4 linked regions of the Schizosaccharomyces pombe genome follow. Changing the gene in region 3 together with the main gene of any one other region gives a genetic interaction. Each region holds a gene or a part of one and is shown on either strand. Other genes may lie near its edges.

Region 1 (7,393 bases), on a different chromosome or scaffold from region 3:
GGTGTAAACAAGAAGTCAATTGCCAACGAAATTCCCTATACCCTTTGAAAACATAGCAAAGTGGAACAATATGTATCTTTGTGGGTTGTGATCCTGGCGAGAAACATATGGTTTTGCTCGTGTTCTGCTTACACCCATGTCTAAAAATTTTTTCGCATATTTTTTATGACTGATATTTTTATTATTCGGGCGCAGAGCTTTGCTATGTTTTAGTTTCAAAGAGTTCATGTTTAAATATTTAAATCTACTTAACTTTTTATCCCGCTTTGTGTGCTTACAAGAGAGTATTGTGTATGATCAGTTATAAACTTGTAGTGTATTTGGTATAAAGCTTTGATTTGTTTAAAAAATTCCGTAAAACAATGATCGCATTAAGCATTGACTAGGGTTCTTTTAATTTTAACAATCGTATTGTTTTACTGTTGTAGCCGTATTTTCAATTGGTTTTAATGGAATGAACGATGATGAGACACATAGATTAATAGTTGAGAAATTCGAGCGAGTAAGCTTGGAATTTTGATAACCAAAGAAAACAAAATCTGAAGTAATTCAGCATATCTCATTTTTTCGCTTGTCGCTCATCTTATTGATCAGCGAAGCACTTTAAACATAAATAGATCTAAATCACTTGTTCAAATGTTCACTGTATTTATTCAATCTATTCATTCTACCGGATTCAAAAAACCTTTATGTCACATAATATATATAACAAGCCCTTCAATTGCTTCTGAAACTGAGTTTAATGACTTGTTTACATAAAAGTCGCAACTGCGAATTCTTTATTCAACACAGCCAAGGAAGTTCAACATAACTAAAGTTGTTTTTAACTATGAGTTGGTTATAACACATTGTCGAATATTCATTTGTATGTATGTTGTACTATACAATGATGAAGGATGTTTTATATCGTTTGTAAGTTGAGACTGCAAAGTTGTAGTTCTGCTGTCCCCATTTCTTTAATATGTAAACTGATAATTAACCAGAATATATGTGAGTAAATAAATGTATGTTATCTGTTAGCTACGCAGTTTGATATCTGTTTTAACGATATATAGAACTGCGGTGAGTTTTTACTTGCGATCTACAATGTAGCGGTATGCGGTATGTTAACTAACAATATTATATTTATTGTTATAAGAAGTCTGTTAGTATCGGTCACCGATATAGCTCATAACTGAACTGTGAAACGAGGTTCAGTAGAAGCTCCATTTACAATCTTACTAATAGTTTTTATCAACGGGTATCTATAATACAATGTAGAGCTTGTGACATATAGAAATACGCAACATGGTGTATCATAGAGTAGTCCAGTATTGCTGACATTATCTCCGCTTTAACAATCGTCCCTTTAGCTCTGCAAAATAGATAGTATATAAGGACTAGGGCCTGCCTGGCTTAAGTGAACTCGTTTTCTGGAAGAAAGCCCATTCATTCTCTGACCATTTGCTCTATATAAATTGATATTTCACAGGTTTGAAGATAGCCTCTTTCAAGATGTATATTAATCAAGAGGAAGATAATCGCATATCTTTAATGGAGAATGGTAGTCTTGAACAAAAGGTACGTTTAATCATTCTTTTATAATAAATCAACGGCTCACTAAGTAATTCTTCTTTATAGTGAGGCTCATGACCGTAGTCGTAAACTCGAATTATTAAGCATTAGAATCAATATTTTCGGTTTACAACTCAATATTATTATTAATCTCATACCGCTTGTCTTGCTTTTTGCTTTTTTTTGCCCTTGTATATATTTTTTGCATACTTTTCTGGCGGATTGTGAGATAGCCAAATCGACTTGCATAACCAGTGTTTTCAATTGTTTGATTTTTCATATGCCCAACTTGTCGGGCGATTGGAATATTACAGTTTGAAAAGAATGTTTGCAGTTTAAAAAGGATAAATATTTATGTTTGTTTGATGAGCTTTGCGTTTCCGAGCAGCAGTAAACCTCTTTAGTCTGGCAAGCAATACCATTAGTGTACTATTCATAATCTTATGCTATATAAAATCAAGGTGATTGAAAATTACATTGCTTGATATTTGTATTACAACAAAGAGCAGCGGGATTTTTTTTTTAAAAAAAGGTAGTTAAATTGTTTGATTATGTGTAAAAATGATTCGGAGATCCATTCGTAAAGAGAGGGAATGGTAATAAAAAAATAATTCATTACCCAAAGAAATGGTTAGCTATTTGTTCGCAGACCATATCATCTAATTTGAAAATAAATAAATAAATAAAATTAAAAATAAAAAGGTTTCAAATACAAATATTCGTTAAAGAATAATATCAGAAAGACACAAAAAGAGATTGAGGCTGTTCAAGGAACTTAGTGTCCATCAAATAAGGTGATAATTTAAATAATGTACTAGTCATTAAATTTTTCAAAAGAATAATTACAGGTCCAATTCAACAACCAAAACCTTTGATAAAATTGAAAAAGAAAGTATTTCCATCCTTATTGAACTTCACGCCCTATCAGAAGTAACCGATTTGAGGGCATCAGGACATGATTATCTCCCCATACCAAAAGCTTCTCAAGCGTTGGCTTTTTGCTTTCAAAATCGCATACCAATTTGTCATTCATTCCACGAATCCAGCTGACATCAAGTGCTTTTAGCATAGGTAATGGAAAATTGACAATATACTGTAATGCTTCATCAGTCACAAACGACATTCCATTTAAATCCAGAGTGCGAAGCGTATGCCCTGAATTAACCAATACTGCACGAACAGTTTTATCTCCAAGTGACAGACACCTTCTTAAGGACAATGTTTCTAAGCCTGACTGAATCTTCCATTCACCAAAAACTATAGAGGCCTCATCATCTGTTAACAGTTCCAAACCACTTAAATTTAGATGCTTAAGACGACCACAACAAGGACCTATACCTTGTTTCAAAACTTCATCAGTTAATTTTGTACAACCAGATAAACTAAGAGTATGCAAACCGCTTCCAATTTGGTTTAGTACATCTAATATACTTCCATCATTAATGATGCCGCCTGGTGATTCAATCTTCAAACTGACAAGATTTCTACAACCAGCTAATAGACGGACGCATTCATCATCAAGATAGAAAATTCTAGAGAGATTAAGGCTAATCAAATTTGGGCAACAGTCAACTATAGCGTTGATAACCGAAACATGAATTCGGGCAGTATCCGTAAGCTCTAAACTTATAAGCTTTGAACCCCGTTTTTTAAAAAAATTTATCCATTCTGAGGAAGAAACCAAAAAGGCACCTTGAAAAGATACATCTGTTAATTCAGTCAAATGATCCGCATAAAAGTGTAAAACTTGATCCTGCATTTGACCACAATAAGTAAGATGCAAAGTTTGAAGATTTGGGCAGTATTGAGCAATTTGGAAAAGTGAATCTGCTGTAATCTTTGAGCAATCATATAGTTTTAATTCAGTTTGACCCCCACTTAAGAATAATTTCACAGTAGTATCGTTAAGAGAGCGGTTTTTTGAAATTATTTGGCTAATTTTGTCCATATTCACTTGGCCAATATCCCCAAAAGCTTCGATATCATTTATGTATTCAGCAATAACTCGTATACACAAATCCTGAAGCTTAGGAACACTGATTTCTTCGTCCATGGTAGCGGCAGCCACCTTTTTACGGGTCAATGCTTTTCTTTTTCTCGTCCTTAATTCAGGTACCGATCGATCTTCAGCACCACGACTACAAGGATAACATAGCCACCCTTTCTCTGAATTGCTGTATTTGCTGTATGGGGTTATTGTAAAGCGACAATTACAGTGTGCGCAAAAATCTAGTTTGCCCGTATGCTCCCTTGCTTTATAAGAAAACCCAGCTCTTGAATTCATTGAAAAAGTGTCCTCGTTGTCTTCAGCTTCTTCATCCGTTTTCTTCTTCTTTTTTTGATTTCGTAGATTTCGTCGTTTCACTACTGGTATCTCAATTGTCGTTGTCGACATCGAGTTTTCATCTTCGTTGTTTTCTTCAACAGAAGTCGGTGTTTGAATAACTTCTGATTCTGTCCCAGTCGATTGCCCTGCTGACTCCTCGCTTTGACGAGGAGGACGAGCACGTCCTAATGCTGAAGCATTGATACCTTGAGACTGAATAATGCATTAGTAACTCCGAGCTAAGAAAGAGTCATCACATACTCTTAAAAATTCTGTTAAAGCAGAATTTGGCCCTCTCACCCGACTTCCACTTGACATTTTAAAGAAATCCTTAGTATGCTGAGGATAAGGTGGAAGTGTGGTTGAGTTTAATTAAATCGCTTCAGATCGCGTGGCAACTTGTCTCATACCAACCACTACTATGCATATATCTACTCTAAAAGTGGACCAATTACAAAATGAAGCTGTAGATATTAATTCAAACGATACAATTGATTCCATAAATTGGAAAAATACTCGCAATAACCATACTACTCAGGCGTCTCTTCAAGCAGACAATAATGATGAGCAAAGTAATGGGCAGGCTCCATTTTCTACTACTTATTCAGAGATAAATAACATTCATGATGTACCAGGCAATCAAGATGAATGGTCATCTTCTCCCATTGCGGGCATTATTGTAGAAAGTGAAGATGAGGAAGTGGTTGAAAACAATTTACATTCACAAATGGGGACGTCATGTAATAAAATAAACTCGAATAGTAATAAGGGAAAAGAAAATATGCATTTTGTTCTAGATGATAATGGTGATTCAAAGGGGAATGCTTCAAATCAACAAGTCGAGCGTGACGACAAGTTAGATATGGAGACAACGCGCTGGAACGGAAAAGAGTTTGAAGAACCTCTGTCAACAAACAAAAAATTGATTATCCAGTCAAACAACACCTCATCTCAACATTCGACACCCCCATTATCCATTTCTGATACCAGTACACACACCGGTAGCAGCACAGACAATGTAGAAGCAAATCCCAATACAGGTTTTTCTAGTGCCAGAAAACGTTCATTAAGGTCCTCGAATTTGAAAAAAAAGTTTGTGCCATTGTCATCTCCAGAAGAATCTAATGAATCCGAATTTATTGATGATGATGAAAGTGATGAAGTTGCTAGCATAATTGATATCAAAGAGGATGAAACTTTTGATAGTAAAGTAGAAATTCCAGAAGCTGCTCCAAGTTCTTCTACGGAAAGTGATGAAGAGTCAATCCCTTTAAGTTACCAGTCCAAACGAAGGAGGGTATCCGCTAGGGCTTCTTCTTCCGCGTCCTCTTCCTCTAGAACACAAGCAAAATCAATTCCATCACATGAAAGAACCCATTATCGTCTGATTCGACAACATCCTGAACTAGAACATGTTTGGGAGAAATTGGAAGAAGAAGCACCTCGTGAAGTGAAACAGATCGAGCAACCCAAAGAGTTGGTCCTAAACCTTCTCCCTTTTCAACGAGAAGGTGTATATTGGTTAAAACGACAAGAAGATTCCTCTTTTGGTGGAGGAATCTTGGCCGATGAAATGGGTATGGGTAAGACTATTCAAACAATTGCGTTGTTGCTTTCAGAACCTCGAGGTAAGCCAACCTTGGTTGTTGCTCCGGTTGTAGCAATTATGCAATGGAAAGAAGAGATTGATACACATACCAATAAAGCACTGAGTACATATCTTTATTATGGCCAGGCTCGTGATATTTCAGGAGAAGAGCTTTCGAGCTATGATGTTGTACTAACGAGTTACAATGTAATTGAATCAGTTTACAGGAAGGAACGCAGCGGATTCAGAAGGAAAAACGGTGTTGTAAAAGAAAAGTCATTACTTCATCAAATGGAGTTTTACCGAATTATACTTGATGAGGCCCATGGTATCAAATCAAGGACTTGTAACACTGCCAGAGCTGTTTGTGGCTTAAGAACGACAAGAAAGATATGTCTTTCAGGAACACCTTTGCAAAACCGTATTGGAGAATTATTTTCACTTCTTCGGTTCCTACGGGCAGATCCTTTTGCTTACTACTATTGCTTGCAATGTGAATGTAAATCTCTGCACTGGAGATTTTCCGATAGAAGTAATTGCGACGAATGCGGCCATAAACCAATGAGTCATACTTGCTATTTTAACGCTGAAATGCTAAAACCAATACAAAAGTTTGGATACGAAGGTCCAGGAAAGCTAGCTTTTAAAAAGGTGCATTCTTTATTAAAACACATTATGTTACGTCGAACAAAATTAGAGAGGGCTGATGACCTTGGATTACCTCCTCGAGTCGTTGAAGTGAGGAAAGATTTATTCAACGAAGAAGAGGAAGATGTATACCAATCTTTATATATGGATTCAAAAAGAAAATTTAATACATATCTTGCTGAAGGTGTCGTTTTGAATAATTATGCAAACATTTTCCAGCTAATTACACGAATGCGCCAAATGGCAGATCATCCTGACCTGGTGTTAGCTAGCAAACGAAAAACAGTTGATATTGAAAATCAGGAAAATATCGTCTGTAAGATTTGTGACGAAGTCGCTCAAGATGCTATAGAATCACGTTGCCATCACACATTTTGTCGACTCTGCGTTACGGAATATATCAATGCAGCTGGTGATGGAGAAAATGTCAACTGTCCAAGTTGTTTCATTCCCTTAAGCATAGATCTTAGTGCCCCTGCTTTAGAAGATTTTTCTGAAGAGAAGTTTAAGAATGCATCGATTTTGAATAGAATTGATATGAATAGTTGGCGTTCATCTACAAAAATTGAAGCATTAGTTGAGGAGCTTTACTTACTTCGTAAGAAGGACCGAACACTGAAGTCGATTGTTTTCTCTCAATTTACTTCTATGTTAGATCTCATTCATTGGCGACTTCGAAAAGCCGGGTTTAATTGTGTAAAGCTAGATGGTGGTATGACCCCCAAAGCGAGAGCAGCTACTATTGAGGCTTTCAGTAACGATATTAATATTACCATTTTTCTAGTTTCGTTGAAAGCAGGTGGTGTTGCTTTGAACCTTACAGAGGCATCTCAAGTGTTTATGATGGATCCTTGGTGGAATGGAGCTGTACAGTGGCAGGCAATGGATCGAATTCATCGTATTGGACAAAAAAGGCCGATAAAAGTAATTACCCTGTGTATTGAAAATTCCATTGAAAGCAAAATTATTGAACTACAAGAAAAGAAAGCTCAGATGATACATGCAACCATAGATCAAGACGAAAAGGCTTTGAACCAGCTTTCTGTCGAGGATATGCAATTCTTGTTCTCAAATTAGAATTTTGTTTTTTTAAAATTAGCCCAAATTTTGGCCGTTTCCTTTTTATATACCTGCCATATCTCCCTTTGCATTTTTTTTGTTATCCTAGTTTTTTGGACCGTAATTCCCTAAGTCAGTATATGCGTTTTGGAAGTTTATTTATTTTTTTGGGGATTCCTATTAATGGATATAATTTATTATTGAGTTGTCAATAGAAC
Region 2 (7,514 bases), on a different chromosome or scaffold from region 3:
TTACAAGTCAAGAATATTAAAGCCAAAGTGCAAACAAGACACCAAAATCCAAATAATGTCCATTCCGCTGCACCATAATTTTTAAAAAAAGCGTCCTTATACTTTAGATAACAAACTGCTGGAGCATTGAATAGAATGATTGAAGTGAATGATATTAGCAGTTTTATCAACAAAGGGGAAGAATTATCTGTCGACCTGGAAGGATTGTTTTCTCTATGTGTGTTAGGAGAATTGCTTAAACGTGCATGATCTGTTTAAATTAATATGATTGAAAGACTTTAGTTAAGAAAAAGCATGTATCAAAGTGTGTGCATTGCATGGCCAACTGTAAACAATGACCAAAGCATGCAATTTGACTACGATGGCAAGCTTCAACTTTCAATTGAATAATTCCTTTCTTATTATTTACAATTCTTACCTGAATATGGAGGCAATGTACTTTCCTCCTCTGAATCATATTCTGGGAGGGGTCCTTTTTCCAAATCAATTTCATGATCTGTCTTCAATTCATCTTCTTCATCTATAGAACTTTTCAAGGAAGTGTAATTATTCTTCGTTTCATCAAGATAATTCTTTATTTAACAAAACACATGCGCGAATTAATTGCTATGATTGCGACAAACGAAACAGCAAAATCAAGAATATTCACTCTGGAGTTCAGTTCCCGCCGTTCAACATAAATAAATGAGCAATAGTCGTTTCAAAGCAAACTGTTTTTTCAATAATAGCAAGTGAAAAGTAAAATTCCAAAACTCATTTTCAAAATGTAATTGCTTCTGACACATTTATTTTGTCACTGCCCTTCTTATTCACCCCAACTTAGATTTCCTTATGCATCATTAAGAAACTCAACATAAAACCAGTATATACGTTTACTGCGTTATTACATACTCACTATTGCAATATGTCTTTAGGTTATTACGATAACAAATCATCGTTCTGAGTCACAATATTTTATTATGCTATTCATTATTTCGTAAACATTGAAATTTGTTTGTATTAAAGTAAACCATTAAACAAATGGAAAAAATGATAATTAAGCTTGATTCATTAAGAATCAAGATGAAGGAGAAATGAATGCAATAAACGAAAATGAAATTGTGAATTTAACAAGGCGGAACAACGAGTTTTCCGATTTCATTAGTTGATTTTAAGTTGTCGTAAACAAGTTAAACCATTATTGTTTGTAGCGTAGAGTATCATTAAAAAAGACACATAATTAGACTCGCATACATAATAAATAAAGACTTCGGTCCTCAATGCACATTATCCAACATCGTAGAATGCATTGGTTGGCAATTTTTGGTAATTGAAAGAATGAGTTAAGCTTATATCTCACAAACTTATAAGGCAAGAGAATAATTAAAGTATGTTGGTGCTTATTTTTAAAAAACGCCGCAGCTTCTCTGCGTTGGTGATTTTGGTAAAGAGGTTTTCCAACTGGAGCGACAACCACATTAATAAAGCAATTAGACTTCGCTTTCAACATCCATTTCTCCCAAGGGAATGTCATTATTATCGTTGGCACCTCTAAACGCATTTCCTATCCGCCCAATTGCATTTCCTATCCCTCCAAATGCATTTCCTATCCCTCCAAATGCATTTCCTAAACCTCCTAGTCGGGTAAGTAAAAAATCATTCATACAGTTGGTTGAATACACATACCTAGGAAAGAAGCTATACCATTCCCGATAAATTTGGGCATCCTTTTGAGAGCACCTGGACGTTCTGGTATGGTTAGAGTAAATTACAGGAATATATAACGAACCCATTTCGTAAAAGAAAAGAAAATTTCCTATAACAAAGAGTGAAGAGGCTTCAATTTCGTAGCCTGTCGCGTCGATATGTTTATCAAATAAATACATCAAACCTTTCGTTACAATAACGACACAACTTTGTACACCCAGCACTTGAAACAAACCAAAAAGCATATGCTTGAGTGTCCAAATTGGAATACAAACTGTATGTTAGCGTTTAGCAAGATAATTTCACTTACCAAGCAATAAAATGAAAAATAAAGCAGCCGAAATACTGCATGTGGAACAGATGAGTGCCTTATTTAAGTTTAGTCTACCATCCTTGACGCAACCAAAGAGTATAAAACAAATGACTACCCATGCGAGCCAGATTGTAACCACCAAATCTTTTTTTGAGTTATACAAACCGACCGCAATTACCTTTACACATTTTGCCAAGAAAACTGCAGTCACCTTTACACATTGTGCCAAGAAAATTACAGTCACCTTTATACATTGTGCCACTGCCTGGGTCCAAGTTTCAAAGAAGCCTAATGAGTTAGTGAATGGACATATTAACAACTTCATGCATAGCTTACAGAAAATAACAATAAACACTATTGGACATGTTATACCAATTGTGACGGAGAAAGCTACCTTGCCGAATATCGACTTCTCCAACGGGTTTACACAAACCCATGCAGTAAAAAAGACAACAATAACTGCAAGAACTGATATTAGTAGTCTCAGAAGGGAATATATATTTGGATGTGAATCTTTGAATTCTTGTCTTCTTTCGACATTGGGATTTGCAATTTCTGTAGGTCCTGTACTTGAATCCTCAGATACAGTTTTAATATATTTCCAAATTTCTGAAAGCATTAATAAAATAAATAACTTTTGAAATTTGGTTTTTTTTTTTTAAAATGATGTAGAAGGAAGAAAGTGTGTGCCCTGTTAGACGAATTTATGCTCGTAATATGTCAAGTTGTAAACAAACAAATACAACAAAAACATTGTAAATCAAAACAAACAGACACAGCAAATAATCCTTGACACACTCAATTCTTTATCTTATCCACCAACAACACAACACTTACCTGAATATGGAGGCAATGTGCTCCCATCTTCTGAATTGTATTCTGGGAGAGGACCTTTTTCCAAATCAATTTCATTATCGTTTTTTGTACTCAATTCATCCATAGACGACCTCAAGGGATAATCTTTATTCTTCATTTCTTAGAAACAATCTATTATTGAATGATATACACACAAATAGTTCAATTGTTGTGATTGCGACAAACGAAACAGCGAAATCAAGAATATTCACTCTGTAGTCCAATTCCAACCACTTTAAAGACTTTTTAACAAAATAATAAAATTGTTCAAACAAATTTCCAACTAATTCCTTCAAACAATGGCATAAAAAAAGAAGAACGAAAAAACTGAACGAGGCAGTGGATTGCTTCTGACACATTTATTTTGTCACTGCCTTTTTTATTCACCCCAACTTAGCTTTCCTTAAATGTAAGCTACGCAGTTTGGTATCTGATTTACGGATACGTAGAACTGCGGTGAGGTTTTTAGTAATTTCAATATAGCGGTATGCGCCCTGTTAACTAACAATATTATATTTATTGTTATAAGAAGTCTAATAGTATCGAATACCAATATATCTAATAACTAAACTGAGGAATCGAGTCAGCAGTTGTTATCAACGGGTATTCATAATACGGTGGTTAGCGTGTGACATATAATGATACATAACGTAGTGAGTCATAAAACACGCTAAACAGATACCAAACTGCGTAGCTGACATGACACTGAATTTCTATCACTCTTTAACAACTACAGTGGAATATACAGTTAGAACGTACATTTTGCGTTGCTTTCACGAATCCCCAAAGTTTTAAAAAACAATGGCTATAAAAGTAGAGTTACTGTAGGTGTCATATTTTATTACAATTGGTAACCTATTATTGTAGAGGTGGGCTTGACTTGCTCTTCAATAAGCAGAAAGCGTTGTCGTTGTCACTTTCAAACCTTGGCTCAACTAAGTTGGGATCATTGATTGATTATATGGCTCAAATAATAGAAAAGCCTTCTCAAAAAGATTTATTTATTTTAAATGGGACTGTGTAAGTGAACATGGAGTGGTATCATCTTTTTCAGGCTCAAACGATGTTTTAAATGATTTTGCAGAACTAACACTTCCCTGCAGACGTCCGGGGATCATCGTCTTAGTAAATGACCAGGATTGGGAACTTCTTGAAAAGGAAGAATATAACCTCGAAGAAGGTGACGAAGTTGTATTCGTCTCAACGTTACACGGTAAAACAATATTTAGCATTTTTTTTATAATATTTAAAACTAATTGTATCAACTAGGAGGTTAAATGGCAGGTATAATTATAAGACAAAACAAACATGCACAAATATCATTAGTATTGAATTTTTTTTTTTAGTCATAAATCCGACATGTATGCTAAATTTTAGTGTCTTATGCTCTAGAGACCCAAAATCCAAATCACAATTAAATCATTCATCATGAACAGAAACCATAGACCAGGTTAAGGTTACTTGATTTCTCGGTATAATTTTTTCTTCGTTAGAGTTGAGTAATTATGATTCTTCGTCAGAGTCTAGTTGTATTGTACGAGTTCGCCGAGCTTGCCGACGTGGATAGCTTGCAGTGAATACCTCGGAATAGGGTTCAAGATCAAATCCTCTATTCTGGCTGGATGATTGTGAACTACGGAGGCCTGTTCCATTAGTTACAATATTTCCTTCATCCTCATCTGATGAGAATGGATGTTGCCTGGAATGAATATTGTTATGAGAAGGAGAATTATTTGAGGAAGAATTGAGAGAATCCAAACTTTCATTCTGAATGTCAGCAAGCTCTCTTCGTAACTCATCGTATCTTTGCCCATCGTTATAACAGGTCTCAGATCGAGATACCATATTCGTCCCTCCAGAGTCGCGCTCTTCATCGAAGCCGTTCATAATATCAATCTCTTCACTATCTGTGCTATCCAAAGCAGTAATACCATTTCCATTACTTCCATTGACAGGAGCTACGAAGTCATCGTCACTTTCGACAGGAGATAATTGGCTTGTAGCACGATTATCTATAAATCCATCATCAACATCGTACTCACCTGGACCAGAAAAATCAGATTCTAAATCAGACCCCACAAATTCTTCTCCTTCGTCAAATCTCAGCCAATCTTGTGGTACTGCAGTTATTGGCGCATGTCCCATATTATTAAATGCGCGGTTAGTCGAGATATTCCCACCACGGGTGTTATCGCCATTTAGGCTGGAATCACTCTCAGCATTTTCTCCATCCCAAAACCATTCACGACCAGAATCTTGGTCATCCGATATTTGAAAACCGCAATGATCGCAATGGTACGGATTTTCCAATTCCCATTGGCAACGAGCGCATCGTAAAACTCCATCTTCAGAATCAACAAGGATACTTCTTGGGTAATGAGAATCTTCTTGTTTAAACATCCCATCAAACAATACCTCCTTTTGCTTCTTTGCTGGATTTTCATTGATTCCCACAAGTGGGAAGCCACTGTTTGAGGCAGCAACCACATTCATTATTTCATATACAAGATATGCTGGTGAAGGTTGTGTATACAGTTTTTGGCGACAAGTTGGGCAAGATTTTGACTCTTTTAACCAATTTAGAAGACACTATTTATTAGTTTCAATCCTTTATAGAAAAAAAGTAAATCTAGAAACTTTTAAAGATATAATCTTGCTCTTTCAATATTTCACTCACAATGAGGGAATTCAATGATAATGAAAAGTTATTCCAGTGTTAAGCATCAAATTTTCACTTACCTCGTAACAATATGTATGACCGCAATGAGTGGTAAAAGGTCTTTGTAAAGCTTCTGTGCAAATGGGACATTCCAGAGTTTTTTTTATTTTCTGGAACGTTTCGAGCAAAGTTTTTGTATCGGGGATTTGTTTTTTATTTTCTGAATTACTGCTAATGCGAGACTTTTTGTACATTTGAGTTGCATCACTAGACGCAAAAGTTGTGCTGTTGGATTGTGGAATTAATAGAACCTCCATTTTCTCATCGTCCAAGTTATTATTATAATTTTCTTCATCGTCTTCATCCAAAACTACTTGGCGATGAGAACTGCGTTTAACCATTGCGCCCAGACAGATAAATTACTATTGAACTTGGTATGTGAGCTCTAACGTTTCTAATCCGGAGAGAAAGCTTTATCAAAATAATAAGTTTAAATAAAATCCTTTAAAAAAACGAATTATATGCAAATTCTTCAAAGCAAATCAACCATTGATTTGTACTTTATATATTTCTTGTAGATGGCAAATACTCTGCGTATTGCAATGCAGCGGTTTACAACTGCATTATCAAATTCTTCTGGTATTATCATAAATATCATTTAGTGACTTGTAGTCAGTGTAATCTCGGGCATATGTAAATTTATTTAACGTTACAAAATGCGATTGCGTTCAACAAGCATGGCTAATAGCGTTTTCTTGTAGCTTGGATTTTTATGAGGATTATTCACAGATACGCACCGATGGCATTTCACGTATAGTTTTAAGTATAATATTTTCAACCATAGCTTTCAATGTTTCACTCTAAGTAGAATTGAACGTCTCCCGACTTAACTCGTAAATATCGTTGATTACTTACCGGAAACCTTTTTTTGCATCGTTCTAACCAGGTAAATAAATTGAACGAATGCTATTCAAAAACATTCAAGGATTAAATAACATATCAACAATTAGATACTACGCTTATTTACTGTTCAGCATACCTTTCTACTCAATGTCTACAATTCGCAATACACAAAACGATATGTAATAGCACATTAGAAATAAGGAACTGTTTAATTTTTGTTAATCCTTAACGAAAAAACTATCAGCATTTAACTAAATTATCTGTTTACATTATTATTAAAATTATAATGCAATCCCTGCCAGTTCCTCATCAACGCCTTTCCATAGTAATAAGGACCGGGCCACTCATAAAAACATTACCAGTTAAAAAGCATGCACACCAACTTAATATTAATATCTCTAACAGAAAGGACGGAACAGTTTGAATAACAACGACAAAGGAAATGCAAATAAAAAATAACTCTCAAAGTTGGCACAGCCAAAATCCAATTATACAATTCGATTTTAATGAAGGATGAATCAGCAAAAAACACATACTCATTAAAAAGAAATAACATTTAAAAACTACCGATTCGTGTAAACCGAAAGCATTGCCATTTTCGGTCAACAAACTTATGCGTAGCGATCTTGTTCATCAACATAGTTAGACTCAGGCTTAGCACGGCCTTCAGAAGAAGAGGTAGAAGATGTAATGTCGTTACTCGAAGTATCCTCCATACCCTCATTGTCAACGTTTTCAAGATGAGCGGCACTTTCACCTTGAACACCACGAGATTTTTCAAGAACCTCTTGTTGTTGCTTTGCAGCTTGTCCGAGATTCTCGGGCCTAGGCATCCAGGGCTTAGCGCCGGAGAGATACAGTTCGTTAATCTCTTCCAAGGTAAGACCTTTGGTTTCATGGGCAAACAAGAAAATAATACAAGCAGCACACAAATTACAGGCAGCGAAAATATAACCATACTTGAATCCAATGGAGTCACTAATGAAGGGAGTAAAGAAAGTAATAAGGAAACCCCACAACCAGTTACCAGTGGTAGCGACGGCAGCACACTTGGAACGATAACGAATGGGATACGATTCACCAACGATAACGTATGCG
Region 3 (7,870 bases):
TTATGTCTTGGCACTTCGTATCGAAGACTTTTTGGAGCGTCGTTTACAGACCCAAGTTTTCAAGCTTGGTTTGGCTAAGTCTATCCATCATGCACGTGTGTTGATCTTCCAACGTCACATTCGTGTTGGTAAGCAAATTGTCAATGTTCCTTCTTTTGTTGTCCGTTTGGATACTCAAAAGCACATTGACTTTGCCCTCTCCTCTCCTTATGGTGGTGGTCGTCCTGGTCGCTGCAAGAGAAAACGTCTCCGCTCTCAAGAGGGCGGTGAAGGAGAAGAAGCCGAAGAAGAGTAAATTAAGCAGGTGTGACATTCTCTTCTATACATTTCTAAATGGGATTTCTTCATAGCCGCTTCTATCTGCCTAATAAAGAAGTTTGTTTGATTGCATAGTGGTTAATTTTGTTTTGTGAAATTTTAATTATTGTACTTAATGTGTAGATTATAATTATGTAAGATTGTAGTGTCAGTTTATTTCATATGAGTAATATGATGAATTTGTTGTTTGTTTTGTAAAAAAGCTGCTTCAGGTAATAAACGGATTTTAAATAGAAGGTCGTTGATTAAGTTTTTCAGGCTTTAGATGGTAGTTGAGCTTCTACGGATATTAAATGTTAATTACTTCTATCGCTCGAATGGATAATTATTCAAACATCGGAGCCATTGCAATATGCTGACCTTTATTATTTGAAATCCATTATTGTATTAATTATGATATTCCCGTACGTTGCACATTCAGCGCTATTGTAAAAACTGAGTAGGTAATTTTTACTACACCAAAATGTCGATATTATTCGTCAGCTACGAACTTTGATGCTCTAAGTACTTATATTTATCCTTATTATAATAACCTTACCATTTTTTCCTACTACCGTTGTTTTTAATAGTTCCGCTGCTGAAATCACCTTATTGAACATGTGATATATGGCAATGTTGCATTCGTCTCTTCTTATCCACTACCACAAACCTTCTTGAACTGCTATAAAGGAATACACCAGCCAGTTTCTTTGGTCGAGATAGAAAGATTCTTATTTATTTCGTTCGTTTAAACAAACTAAACATAGAACAACATTATTTGCGTCAACACAACATGACTTCACATCAAACTGGGAAAATTGAGGTGCACTGGAACGATCCTTCTTCTGGTATCTTTTTAAGTCAAACTCAACGAACGTCTTCCACATCAAGTTTAAAGAAATCGGCTTCGAGTAGACGTTTGGTTTATGGTGATGACATGCTGGCACCCAAACCGTTAGCTGGTCAAGTACTTAGTAAATCACCACTTCCTCCTTTTTCACCTTCAAAAATTATGAACAGGAGTATATCTGTTCCTCCCACGAATATCTCTGTTCCTCAAATTAGCAGTAATCCTCTCAACTTGATGAAGAAAAGCAGTGACAATGATATCTTTACCACGTTTAACGATACAACAAACGATTGTATGAACGAAGCTTCTTGTGAAGATGTCAGGCACTCCCTATTGCAAATTATAGAAAGTAAATCAAATCTTAGTGATTCTGTTCATAAGATGTTGGGTGAACGAGTCAAAACGAATTTACTATTACAAGGTCAACTAGAAAACATGGAAGGCTTTTGGCTACAAAAATTATCGCAAACATGTCGCTTGGCGTTGACAGGAAACATTAGTGAGGCGAAGGCATTTATTGTAGAAATTATGTGTGCCGGTGTTGTAACTAATTGTGTGCGCTGGTGTCCAGTTTTGAAGACTCTAATTGAAAACCTTGCTATCTAGCTTTACATGTTGTTATATATTTTCTAAATCTTCCTGCTGCAAGTTATATGACACTAATGCTCTTTTTTTCTTAATTCTATCATTTTTAATGATGTTACTCATTTGCATTTTAACAAACCATTTATAAGCATGATTAGCTATGTCGGACGCTAACGAAGTTACAAGTTAAAGGATTTAATAACACTTCCTTTTTGAAATTAGAAGAAATCTTAATAGATATAATGGAAGTTTCCATTTTTTTTACAATATATATTTTTCTTATGGCCTGTCGATTAATAGTATTTTTAGTTTAATTTACTGAAACATTATATTTGTTTTTAGTGAACACCGTAGAATATTTAGGAATTTTGACTAGGTCTGTTTATCATACACACTTAGTATTAGATATCGTGATTTTTTGAATATATGAAAAAAAGTACTACAGACAGAAAATGCAGCGTATTAGCCTCAAGTAATTATTAAAAAAAATAAAAATTTTCTTTTAAAATTATACAGTGTTTACCAAAGTTATGTAAGACAATCAACTGCCGCTTCTCTCTCATTTCTGTTTATATACATCTTTAATGTTTATTACTTATTAAAAAAAAAAAAAAAAAAAAAAAAAAAACAAAGCAAATTACGTGCATTACCAAGAAAACAAAACCGCTCTAAATATTTAAGCTAATTAAAACAATGAAATAACAAATTTATTAACTTGTAACCGTAACAGTGGAATTTATTTTAACTGCTGTCATTTCTAGAATTTCATAAAGGGAGACATGAATAAATTTAACCTTATATTACAAATTGTAAATACGTAAATGTTTATCACAAAATCGAATACTCAAGTCATATTACTATGTACCTGTGCAAGCAACCATTTGTAAACCAAGTACAAAGGTAAACTGCCTCTGTCCGCGGTTGGCGCTCAAAAAGCTGAGCCAAGCCTATTTTTGGCAAACTATTTTTCGTGGGTGATTACGTTATGCATTGGTAATGAAGATAAGGAAGTGGAAGGTATTGAAAGTGGATTAAGAAGAAGTTGGCGCCAAATCTCCAAAACCTGTGCTTTACCAACAACGTTACCTAATAAAATTCATGTAAACAAAATTTCCAAAATTGTCATTCATTTTATTGTTCTCCAAATGTTTTCAATATGGAGACTTTAAAAGCAGATCTTTCGGATATGTCCGATTCCGTATGTCCTTATACTTGATTTGAATGTGTGTATATGTGTTAACAATGTTGATCAGCCTGAGTACTTTGAAACCTTGGCAAACAGGGATTTACCAAGATTGCCTGGAACAAGCAAGCTTCATCGAGCTGCATGTATTAAACGAAAATCTATCAATTTAAGCCTTCCTTCTAACAGTTATTCGCTTTCTTACCGACAATCAGACGACACTGATGGCGATGTTTCAGAATCACAGAGTGAATACAGGTTGAGTAGTGGAAGGAGGTCTCGAGCAAGCTTTGCTCGTGCTTTACAAGATCCCCAAACTCCAAACACTCCTCCCGTATCGTCTCAGCACCGAAGATTCTTTTCGGAGGGCTCCTTCAATTTGCCAAACTCCAACATGAGCCACTCATTAAATGGGGATTCTACAGCCTCTAATAGTTCTACTTTAACCCCTAATCGTATTTATGGGGACCGCAATCGTCAAGATTATGCTCAGTCTAGCCGATATACTTTGCCTTCGTTGCCTAGTTCCCCATCATATAACTGTCCTACAACACTTCGAAAAATACATACAAACACGAGTAGCAATGGAACTTCACGAAGAGTTAGCGGCCTAGGGTCTTTTATGGCACAGAATTCCTCTGAAACTAGCAGTAACAGGACTTCGGCGTATCTACCTGGTAGCTCTACGGATGAACAAGAAAAGCGTTCCAGTGTGACTTTGGCAAGTATGCCTTCCTCTCATTCGTCTACAGCGTCCCTCCTTTCACCTCTTGATACTACTTCTTTTTCTACTAAGTTGGACTCTACTATTTTGGCCTTGGAAACTGATGAGTCTCTCAGCCGAACAATTTCGTATGCCACTACTTCTTTACCGAGCACACCAGGTAAGCGTTTATCAAAGGAATCTCTTGCTATGTCTGAAGCCAGTTCTATCAATCCAGAATATAAGCGTATTAAAAAGCGTGCAAATTTGATTAAAGAGCTGGTTACTACTGAAGCTGCCTATTTAAACGATCTCATTGCGATTCAACAAAGTTATGGCTTGCGGGTCAAAGAATGCAGTGCATTGAATCCAGTTGACGCCCAAACAGTTTTTGGCGATATAGAGTCTTTATTAACTTTTACTGTGGAATTCCATAGTCGACTTTATCAAGCTGGTGAAGGCTCCTGGCGTGTAAACTTGGATACCCAGCTTATAGATCCTCTTCCTTGCAATTTAGGTCTTATTTTTTTAGAAAGCCTTTCTGAAATCGGTCAAATTTATACTGGTTATTGCAACCGTCAAGATTCGGTTTTCAAAATTATCACTAAATGGAGAGAGAAACCTGCAACTGCATCCTGGATTATGGAGGGTGATAAAATAGTTCAAAAATACACGAACGCCTGGGATTTGGGTAGTTTAATAATTAAACCTTTACAGCGCTTACTCAAGTACCCCCTATTATTGCAAAAAATCATTGATGTTACTCCTGAAAGTAGTTCTGAGCGCCCAGATTTGGTCCTTTCTTATCAACTATTACAGGAGTTAATATCTGGTATAAACCAGAAGCAGAAGCCTTCTCATAAGCGTGGGTCGTTAAGTGCTTCTCATAAACGAGACGCTGCTTGGAGTTTACTCTATAAAGCAACATCGAATAAATCTAGGCCCACCACTACATCTACTGAGTTAAAAACTGATGCTCGATTGAATTTTCAACGCCAAGTGCTTCAAGATTTTCGACAACGATTCGCTATATTAAAAGCCTTACATGCTACATTGGAAACGTGGTACGTTACTGTACATCGTGGATTTTCGGTTTTTGAAAAGGTTTTAGCAGAGCTTGAAGGGCTTAGTGCTTTAGAGCCCGAAGACAAGCCGGTAGATACGTGGCGTAAGTATCATTTACTTGCGCACATGATGACTGCTAACCTTCCTTCTCAAATACAAACGTCTTTAAATTCTTCTATCCTTAACCCAATCACAAATATCCTACGAGTGATTCAAAAAGTTATTCAGTTCATTATCAGCGCTGAATTTGTGATTCCTGCTCAAAAGCTTGAGGCAATTTCTACTCTTGTTGAGAAGGAATTTCACAGTGTTGTTTATCATTTTATTGGTATTCAACGCTCTCTCTATGAAAACTACGCTCAAGGTTTCTTGTTTCTTATCCCTCAAGACATGAGGGATAGCATCTTAGAAGAAACGCAAGATTATGCAGAGTTAGTTCGAGCCTTTGAACCCATGCATTATGATGACGAGGTATTGCTGGAGGAATTAATGAAAAGTGTCTCTTTAGCTGCGAGGGTTTAAGAGCAACTTCTTTAGTCGAATATTTTTTATCTGTTCTATATATATACACATTTAGATATACTGCATTCATGTTACTTGAATGATGAAAACGTTTCTCTGGACCATGGTTTTTTGCAGCTTCCATGTATTTAACATCACAATTACATTTATTTAACCTAATATCTGCGTTTGTCTGATTACAATTCGTTTAGGTTCTTTTAACGGTCTTTTTTTGTCTATCACAGAGGCCTGTTAAGTTTAGTTTCAAATTAGGATTCTAAACGCTTTTACGCCTTCCTTTTATGCATCTCATTATTTTTGTCTGCTCAAGTCGAGCTATTAATTATTGTCTTTTCACTTTTTTTTTTTAAACTAGGAACGTTTTGGCTTTTCTGCTGTTATGCCATTTTATTTGTTCATACGCTTCCACTTTTCATTTATATGCTTTAATAATGTATATAATATTTGACTTTCACTTTAACTATGTTTTATGTTTAAAATATGTAATTAGGTTTTGATTGAATTAATTTTGTTCGTCGTTATTTATCCTAGTTGACTAACAAAAACAGGTCAAATTCTTACATTCGTAGTAAAACCAAAACGTAAATAAAAATACTTACGATGAAACAGTCTGGAACCATCCGATAAAGTGCAATGATAAGTACGATAAATAACCTTTTAAAAGTCACACTGTTAATTACGGCAAATACAAATTTATTATACAAGAAACCAAAAAATTTATTTTTATAAAACTGTCTCAATAACCTTCATTATAGGTTAATGAGAACGACGAGAACGGACGGCAGCAGCCAACTGTTCAAAAACGGCGGTAGTGTCGTCCCAACCAATGCAAGCATCGGTGACACTGACTCCATATTTCATACTTGACAAATCATCCTCAGGTATAGCTTGCTTACCTTCGTTAAGGTGAGATTCGATCATGACACCAGTAATTGCTTTCTGACCGTTTGCCACCTGCTCAGCAATACAAGCAGCAACCTTGGGTTGATTCTTATGGTTTTTAGATGAGTTTCCATGAGAACAGTCGATCATGATACTAGGTAGCTTGTTGCATTCTTCGAGTTTAGCCTTGGCACCAGCCACTGAATCAGCATCGAAGTTAGTCCCACTTTTACCACCACGCAAAATAATGTGTGTATCAGGGTTACCTGTAGTAGTAACAATGGCTACAACACCCTGCTTTGTGACAGACAAGAAATGATGAGGGTTGGCAGAAGAATTCATAGCATCTATAGCAATACCAATGTTACCGTCAGTAGCATTCTTAAAACCTATTGGAAAAGAAAGCCCTGAAGCAAGTTCTCGATGCAATTGGGACTCAGTGGTACGAGCACCAATAGCGCCCCAGCAAATTAGATCAGCTAAATATTGGGGACTTATAGTGTCCAGCATCTCTGACGCTATACCGACACCAGTTTCCAGAAGCTCCAGAAAAATGCGTCGAGCGACACGAATACCCTTATTAATGTTATAAGATCCATCCAAATCGGGATCATTAATCAACCCTTTCCATCCAACAGTTGTACGAGGCTTTTCAAGATAGGCGCGCATAATAATATGCAAGTCCTTCTTGTGCTTAATAGCCTCCTTTTGCAAGCGAATGGCATACTCCTTGGCGGCAACAGGATCGTGTAAAGAACAGGGTCCAACGATTAGAAGAAGTCTATCATCACGTCCCGCAATGATATCGGCGGCTTGGCGTCTTTGATCCGACACAAAAGCAAGTGTTTCATCAGAGGCTGCTAATTCTGATTGAATTAAAGCAGGTGAAATTACTGGATCATAGCCTTTGATACGACTATCTTCAGTTTTACAACGTGAAAAAACACTGTCGCCAGGAAGAAGAGGAGTGTGCTTGTCCATCTCTTAATGATTTTCTAACTTGTAGAAGACAAGCCATTAGTATAATGTAGTTCTCAAGACATCTGTAATAAAATTTTTTAACGAGATCAATTTTCGCTACTTTAGATTACGAGTTACAAACTACTGCGCTGTCATAAGTCTTGGACATTATATTTCCAACTATCAATAGAAACTGGTAAACAATATCCTTTTGTAAGCATGTATTATTAAAATGAATGCTTCAATTTAACATTTCGAAGTCTTTTCAAAGTATTAAAGTAAGTATAAACTATTCCTGCTTAACAAAACGACTATCATGAACAAATGCAAAAAAAAAAAAGCATAAGAACGATAACTTTTATTATTAGAAGATAAATTTTATTACCCTAATAAACAAAATAAATTGATTAGGCAATTAGGGATTGACAAAAGATATCAAGCGTCGAGTATGTTTTAACAAAAAAACAATTTCAATAATTAAATGACAAGCCTCTTCAGGTGTTATTTTTATGCTTTTAAATGACCCAAAATGCAGAATTATTGTTTTGATAAATTGGGAACAATTTTATCGATACAAATTTAGAGCAAAATTGGTAAATACATTAAATTTGTCTCGAGTCATTTTCAAAGTTAAATATAACATTTCATTTTCAATGACTTCAGCCTTGTCAGAAGATTTCAACATAGTCTCCCATCCTTCTCGGTCAAGAATCCATACAGCAGAATCTAATTCAGCTACAACTGTGGCATTATAGCATGTCTTACTGAAGAATGGAAGTTCTCCAACAACGCACAAACATGTGATATTTTCAGATAAGCTTTC
Region 4 (7,510 bases), on a different chromosome or scaffold from region 3:
ATGACTTTTATCGAAGTCAGAAGTACTGCTTTCCTGGTATGACTCTACAATACCTAGCGGGTCTTGTGAAGTTTGAATTTCTTCATTCAAACTACTGGAGTTATCGTGCTGGCCCTCGTGACTTTGCACTGGCACGTGTATCGAACCGTCAACCATTCCTATCTACAGATCACTTTTCAGTAAAGTCACTGTTTATGGAATGTTGTTTCAAGAAAGAAAAAATTGAAAAAACAATAAAAAAGTGAGAAGGAGAGTTCAACATCGCATGGAAAACCTCTTTCAGTGCTGTAACCTGGCGTGACTGCCCAAGTAACAATGTGAGATATAACCATGAGTAAAGTTAAACGAATGTATAACATGCAAAAATTAACAAAGCTGAAGCGAAAGCGAAGGCTTTTAGAGCTAAATGCTTGTACATTCATCGTTTCCAAATGCAGTAGTAAATTAATAGTAAAAGCTCGACTTTTGAAATTAATACCTGAGTTGGCTTGCTATTCTTTGTAGGGGGGCCGATTTTACCCAACATGTGCTAATTTTAGTGAAGAGAGAAATCTTCCAGCTTCTAGATGAAATGAAATAAAAAAGCGAGTAAGAGAGAAGAAATGTGTTGCTTTTTTTTATTACAGCACTAAGAGAAATTCAATGAAGATGGGATGAATGTTATGGACTAGTATTAAATATAAGAATCTCGACGCTAAAAAAATACTGTTTGTTAGAATACGTAAAAAGACTTTGTATAAATAACTTAGGGAAAACTAGCTTGATTTATGTAGTATTCTATCCCTCTTGTAGAAGTGTGTAAGACATAAATATTTAAATTAATGGGAATCGATATTTTGGGGTTCATCCCAAATGAGCCGGTAACGTAGAAAACGAATCAAGATACTAAACTTGTAAACACATGTATAAACAATTAAAACAGCTAAGCATGTATCACGAGTATTAACGATTTGGTAAATGTTAAGACAGTTTATTATGTCCGGTCCTCCTGTTTGCTGCTACGAATATTCAAGAATAAAGAAGCAAATGTCAATATGATAAGTGAATGTTTCTCTAGAAAAGATAGAAAATAACTAAGCCACTTGTTATCAGACATACAGTACGTGAACATAATCAAGCGTATGACTGAACTATGATTTTGGTACCTCCCTTCCACAGCATAAGCTTCTCCAAGATTGTTTAACTTTTTAGAAATTAGCTCCGATTCAGTTGGTTAAATCTAGGCTCTTTAGTTTGTCTTTTAAGCAACTCATATACAGCTTATAATATCAATTTATTATAGACATATCAATAACACTTATTGCTCAAGTATTTACAAGCCATCAAAATTAACGCATCCTTAAATCTGTAACAAACTGCGTAACTGCAAGCTAACATACTGTAATTTAACGATCAAGCTCTTATGTAGACTTTACGTCGTTCCGAACTCATTAAGCTTGCTAGGGGTTTTAACGAAATTGCGTTATGTCATTCTGTGTAATAAAATTGTCACCACCATTCCTGAGATCACTCATCTATCATAGCAGTCAAAAGCATGCAGATGATCCATTGGGATATTAGAAATTGCCAAGCCTTCCAGTTCATTTCCATACGAGGCAAATGAGGAGAAACGAGACTTTTCTTCTCTAATATTGATCTATTCAAGAGCAATTTAGTCACAAGTTCTGATCATCTGTTCGTACTTGAATATGTAAACATTACAATAAACGGAACCAAAAGTCAAAGCATGCAAAGCGAAGTGAATTTAAACAGTTCATTCCTTATTAAAAGAACTGCTTGTCCATATTTTTTGACAAGAATATGCTTCTTTTAAGATAGACAGCAAATAGGCGGTTTTAAGGTTGATGCAAACATAAATCATGTTACAGCAACTACTTTTAAGGCGTAAAGTTTACCTTCATAGTTGACAGTAAATTATTTTTATCTTTCTATTTTTGAAAGCAAATTCGTAAGGAGAATAATAATAGTATTATAAACACCACTTGATCGCAGTGCTGCGTCTAGAGTGTTGATTAAAATATGACTCAATTGCTTCGACACCTCCATAGGACTACTTTTACTCAATAATCTGTAATCATCGAGTATATTTAAAGTAAGAGAATAGCCTCCATCCCCGCTTTCCAAAAACGTATACATATAAAGTGCATCGCATACGCTTGAAATTAACTTTTGATTCAGAAATCTTCTCGTGTCTAATCCTTTGTCCTAAAAAGCCTAATTTCGTGTATCTTATACTGCGAAGCAATACAGAAGATATTTTCTGGAAATAATTGACTCTTTTCCCTTCCAATCCATATACGAGGAATTTTTGACATTAAATTCCACTTTTAGAACCATTCTATTCTTTCTCTTTCCTTGCTACCACCATCCATTTCTAGTCATTCAGTTCAGGTTTTTTAGTAAACCTTCTTGTTAATTGGTTATAACATCGCTCTTTCATTGCTTAAAAGAGTAACTTTTTAAATCACCGTACCTTCCTTGCAAAGTTAACCTGTATACATCCTTCTGTGAACCCGCAACAGACCATTTTATTTTTTTAAATAAAGCATAGTCTCAAGTTCCCTAACATTTGATTAAATACCGATTGCCGATTAAAGCATTCCGACATTTTTGTTTTCATCAGATTATTCAAGTAACGAGTTAAGTATTTTTTACCTCGTTCACACATTGACTGCCTTTTTCTTTTTTGCATTACTTTTTTGACAATCTCGATAATCTTTTATTAATCCAGCCTTCATTTTCAATTCCTTTTTTTTTTTGAAATTCAAATTCTCGTTGACTCCTCACATCGACGACATAAGCAAATTCCGTTCTCTCACTAGGCCTATTGACCGATTTGAGCATTTTAAACAAGCATTGTTTGTCTATCTCTTTTTTGACTTCTGCATACCTCAGTCTTGTTACCTTGAACGTTATATTTTCTCTGTTTTTTTATCGAGGTAAACAAACAAAAAAAAACATATTTTATAGTATCCAATCAAAAAAAACCACTTTTTTTAATTTTTCATCTACAAACAATAAATAACTTTCAAACGAAAGAATTTACTGTTTAATATTCTGTTGATTCCTTAACTTCTTGGAGGATCTATTTATAAAACTGCTGCCTGCGACGATTCAAATCGAGGTGTTCCCAATCAATTTGTAAAACAGGTGTTTTCTTTAATACTTTTGGTTCTATTTTGCATTTTCTGTTTCTAGTACCGCCACGTTCATTTATTAATTATCCCTAATTGAATAATGAGTCAACTTTATGCTTTAAACGGACAACCTCTAGCAGGGAAATCTGATGACCTGGCAAATAAACTTGCCGCCTTCGGATTGTCTCAACCTAACCATAGTTCTCTTTCAGAACAACAATCGACCAACTCTTTGCTTCATGGTTCAGGAGCATTTAATAAACCCCCACTGTCCAGGAATTCAACGACAAATCCGCTTAATTTATTATATACACAAACACAGCAACCTGCAAGGTCGACAACTCCTTTTCTGCTTAACCCAGTAGGATCAAGTCCTGGTAAATTGCCCGTGCCTTCAAGGAACAACTCTTACTTACAGGGCACTGCGGAGTCAAACTCCGGTAATTTTGCAAATAATTCAATTAGCAATAATTGCTGGAATTCCGCATACAATTCTAACAGTTTCGAAGGCACAGGCAGCTCTCCAAATTTTCCACCCCAAAATCAATTTCTTTCAGATAGTCGATCTTCAATTGCAACGCTAAATGCCATCCCTTCGTTGGATCAAAGTGTTCTATTGAATCCAAATCTTCGGGCTAGAACACCTAGCTTGGTACCGGAACATTACTTTGATGATACCGACAAATCAGTACATTCTAAAAGTAGTTCTGGATCTAACTCCCTTAGTGAAGCTTCAAATGATGATTTAGAATCTTCTATCATTCAAATTGTTGGTGGCTTGCCGGACGATTTTGATGATAGAGAGCTGAGTGGAATTTTCACATTCTGCGAAGGATATGATTTTTCAAAAATCGAAAGTGAAAATGGGCACCGAAAAGCTATTGTATACTTTCGGAACGCAATAGCTGCATTAAAGGCAAAAAACATGTTAAACGCGTCTTCTACAAACAATTTCACCATTATTCAAAGGGATGTTGTAAGGCAACAAGAAAATGAATATCACAAGGGCATTCCACCATTGACTACCCCAAGTTTATATTCCCAACGCCTGTCAAATAACTATGACTCAACAACGCCTGGGTTTCCTCGGTTTTCACCAGCAAATTTTGATTCTGTCATCAATAAGGACGTTACTTCAGAATCACGAATGTCCACCTCGTATCCAGCGGTATTGGAAGCTTTTAAATCGTTCAACCCAATAAAGGCTCCTAAAGCTGAATATCTTAATCAATCACGAGCATCAATGGGAAACCCTTCACCTTCAAACTGGAATAATAGGCTATTACAGCCATCTTCTAAAGAGCAAGCCGTATATTCTTTCCAAACGCAGAAAAATAGCAAAGGGCTTCAATTTACAAGCAATGAATTAACAAACCCCACAGCCAAATATTCACAGTTGCCAAACAATATTGCTAATATTGGTGAATCTAATTCTTTATCAAATCAGCCGAATAACTTTGCACAAACGTCGTTCGATTACCAACCTAATCATCCAAATGCAATTTCGCCCAAAGCAAAGTTTTCTTTACCTTCAAGACCAAGTTATCATAAAGACAACTCTTTTATTTCAAAACAAGCTATCGATAAATCAAATCCTTTTGAAGAGGCATTGCGATTAGAACGTACGAGCCCTGTTAAAGAGCTACCTGCTATAAGACCACGTACAATTCCACTGAATGGTGTTGCCCCATATGAAAGTGAACTTAGGCCGCCGCCCAAGTGGAAGCCTATGCCAGACCTTAAAGTAGTCCGTTCACGCCCGTCATTAAAACAACGCCCTTTAAGGAGCGCCGAATATGTCCGTGTTTGTGAATTAAAATGCCTTCAGGAAGAAGAATTTGATAATAAAGTGCTATTGGAACAAGTAGAGTCCAATGTGCAAACTGATCATAACTCACCCTGTAACACAATTTATGTGGGAAATTTGTCCAACCCAGACCAAGAGAAAAAGCTTAGGTTGGCTTTTTCAAAAGAGAAGGGGTATCGGAGACTATGTTTCAAAATTAAGGGAAACAGTCCTATGTGTTTTGTAGAATTTGAGGAAGTTTGCCATGCTGCGAAAGCAATGGAAAAAATGCAAGGTGCTGCATTAGACGATAAAATTAAAGGTGGCATTCGCTTAAGCTATTCCAAAAATCCACTTGGTGTCCGCTCCACCGAAAACCTTTCAACCACAGCATCCCTTTTTCAACAACACGGCCCTCCGAAGAAAAGCACGGACTGCTACTCAGCAAAGGCATCCGCTGCTGTTGAACGAAAATACCATTTTCAAAATATGACTCCAAAACCAAATGGAACCAACAGTGTCACCACACTAAACAGGACCCAAACTCACTCGTCGGAAGTGAACGATTTGTTTGATATTTTTGAGTTTCCTAGCAAATAGAAACGGTGAGTTTTTCTTCAATAGTCAACACTATTGAAAAGAGCACGCTAAGGCTATGTAAAGAAAATGACTCTATTTCTATACAAAGTCAAAACGTTTGATTTTTAGTTTTAACATTCAGAATCAGTTGCATGACAGAATTATTTTATCCTTTGTGAAAAATTCCACAATTATTGAGAAAAAAAATAAAAAAATAATAATAACTAGCATAATTAATAAAAAATTTGGTTGAATTTGGTAAGCAATTATTGAAATTCAAAGTAACATGCTGTCAGCCTTCACTAAGCTAGATTGGAAAAAACTTGATCTCACACTTTGGTTGCAAAATGTAGAATAAAATTTATAACGCAATAAAATTTAACGACGTCTTCCATTTAAAGTCGAATTAACGATTTATGTTTGTTAGTTCGTCATGGTTTAAAAGTTCGGAAAGAGTTTTGAATGACAAATGCTTCCGTTTTTTAGAAACACCGAGGGTCATTATTTTGTTTGATAAGATTTGTGTAGAAGTAGTGTAAATACCATAATATGAGCAAATCAAATGCATCCAATATCGAGCGAAGGCTGTTGCTTTCGGATTGCTAGGACAATCAATTAACATATAAATTCGATAGCTTCTCTGCGTTTCCAAAAAAGAAGACGTATCAATTTCTGCTTTAATATTAAAGCTTTCCGAAGCATATATCGCTGGTGAATGGTCGTGGTCATAAGCATAAAGCTTTTCGTTCATAATATTATTCAAGCACTCGTCCAACAACAACACTAGTTGCAGAGAGTTGTAACATTTGATTTCATGTCTAATCCTTTTAACAATGGATTTATGGTGATTGTCGTTAAACCTCTGGTTCGATGATGATGTTAGCAATGAAGATATATTATTTACTCCATCCTTGTAAAACTCATCTCCAACGGTTAAAAAACCAAAAGCTGGTCTGTGGGTAAATAAATCCTTATAAACGACCTCATCAGGATCATCCGCTGCTTGCTTTAATATATGCAAGTCTGAGAGTCGATATTAGTAAATAGTTTCAAAAATGCGAACAGCGACCCAAAACATACCATTAAGGAAACGATTCTTTTTCCTCGAACCGATGTTTCTCTTGGAATCAAGGTTCCTTCTTTTCCATGAATTGTCATTGTCAATACTTTTAACAAAATCTAAAACACGCGCATCGGATCCACAGTTACGAGCAGAAATGGATTGGAACGACTGTAGGTTTATCCTTCTGGTTGAGAGAGTTAGTGGAACATGCTTTGAGTCGGCACTAGAATAAGCATCCGCGCAATGCAATGTATTTGAAATGAGAACCATCGTGGCACACGACAGCAACCAAATGCCGATTTCTCTTTAGATAATAGAAAGGAACTTGCGGAATCGTTACACTTCAATAAACTAATTTCTCGAGCCCTAACGAATCACTTGTGATGAATAGTGAGGCACGGTTCAACTCATTAAATGATCACTGTACATGAAAAAGGCTGAATGAAAACATGAGTTTTTAGGATGTTAGTATAGCTTAGATGAAAACGAATAGAGGTTTATACACTCTATCTTGACTTACAAAAGCCAATTTATAAAAATTTCTAATTTTTATTCAAAATATATATACATAGATATATAGTTCTATGGGAAATAAATAGAAAGCAAAGTATAAGCATTTTGCCATTGATTTGAGAGGCAACAAAAATAGTCTCAACATTGCAAGAATAGGAAGGGACAATTTAAAGACCGTTTAGCGTTTTTAACGCGTAATTGGGGATAATCCATAAAATAGACATAAAAGAGCTACTCCAAAAGTTTTTACACTCCAAGTTCGATATCGCAAAGAGCATCCACTTTTTTAATACTATCCTGGACGTGATCGTAACCACCGATGAGATCCAAAAGACCATGTTTTTCAAAAATATGAAGAACTTGCGGGTCTAAAGATACCAAATGAACCTCAACTTGGTGCTCGACATACTCTTTAAGGATACGCTGAAAGGC

The links.
Region 1: mutations in gef1 (region 3) and rhp7 together harm fitness more than expected from each alone (negative genetic interaction), as found in Schizosaccharomyces pombe (one large-scale study listed by BioGRID).
Region 2: mutations in gef1 (region 3) and urm1 together harm fitness more than expected from each alone (negative genetic interaction), as found in Schizosaccharomyces pombe (one large-scale study listed by BioGRID).
Region 4: mutations in gef1 (region 3) and mde7 together harm fitness more than expected from each alone (negative genetic interaction), as found in Schizosaccharomyces pombe (one large-scale study listed by BioGRID).

Annotation. Positions count from the first base shown.
Region 1 is NC_003421.2:102,485-109,877, reverse strand, and holds rhp7 (DNA repair protein), read right to left. Parts: upstream 4,199-7,393; coding exon 4,142-4,198; exon of another isoform or gene 4,094-4,141; coding exon 2,459-4,093; 3' UTR 2,030-2,458; downstream 1-2,029. Other genes in the region: SPOM_SPCC330.03C (cytochrome b5 reductase), read left to right, coding at 1-7; SPOM_SPCC330.19C (uncharacterized protein), read left to right, coding at 1,541-1,560, 1,621-1,873; rhp16 (ATP-dependent helicase), read left to right, coding at 4,302-7,193. UniProt on the Schizosaccharomyces pombe protein: Involved in global genome repair (GGR) via nucleotide excision repair (NER), in conjunction with rhp16, after UV irradiation.
Region 2 is NC_003421.2:219,730-227,243, forward strand, and holds urm1 (ubiquitin-like protein modifier Urm1), read left to right. Parts: upstream 1-3,604; 5' UTR 3,605-3,655; coding exon 3,656-3,678; exon of another isoform or gene 3,679-3,721; coding exon 3,722-3,874; exon of another isoform or gene 3,875-3,957; coding exon 3,958-4,067; exon of another isoform or gene 4,068-4,123; coding exon 4,124-4,131; 3' UTR 4,132-4,357; coding exon of another isoform or gene 4,358-5,443; 3' UTR 5,444-5,593; coding exon of another isoform or gene 5,594-5,914; 3' UTR 5,915-6,030; downstream 6,031-7,514. Other genes in the region: wtf meiotic drive antidote Wtf4, read right to left, coding at 1,470-1,615, 1,666-1,728, 1,769-1,960, 1,997-2,287, 2,336-2,608, 2,837-2,972; ubiquitin-protein ligase E3 Dbl5, read right to left, coding at 4,358-5,443, 5,594-5,914; hexose transporter Ght8, read right to left, coding at 7,028-7,514. UniProt on the Schizosaccharomyces pombe protein: Acts as a sulfur carrier required for 2-thiolation of mcm(5)S(2)U at tRNA wobble positions of cytosolic tRNA(Lys), tRNA(Glu) and tRNA(Gln).
Region 3 is NC_003424.3:467,918-475,787, reverse strand, and holds gef1 (RhoGEF for Cdc42 (Gef1)), read left to right. Parts: upstream 1-2,797; 5' UTR 2,798-2,888; coding exon 2,889-2,930; intron 2,931-2,985; coding exon 2,986-5,205; 3' UTR 5,206-5,807; downstream 5,808-7,870. Other genes in the region: rps901 (40S ribosomal protein S9), read left to right, coding at 1-295; SPOM_SPAC24H6.08 (uncharacterized protein), read left to right, coding at 1,091-1,753; SPOM_SPAC24H6.10C (phospho-2-dehydro-3-deoxyheptonate aldolase), read right to left, coding at 5,962-7,068; vsb1 (sulfate transporter), read right to left, coding at 7,613-7,870. UniProt on the Schizosaccharomyces pombe protein: Has a role in the control of cell polarity and cytokinesis. Involved in bipolar growth, via modulation of cdc42-shk1-orb6 signaling, and septum formation. Stimulates guanine nucleotide exchange of cdc42.
Region 4 is NC_003421.2:152,669-160,178, forward strand, and holds mde7 (RNA-binding protein Mde7), read left to right. Parts: upstream 1-3,237; coding exon 3,238-5,523; downstream 5,524-7,510. Other genes in the region: SPOM_SPCC320.08 (transporter), read right to left, coding at 1-156; SPOM_SPCC320.06 (uncharacterized protein), read right to left, coding at 5,909-6,525, 6,583-6,835; SPOM_SPCC320.05 (sulphate transporter), read right to left, coding at 7,325-7,510.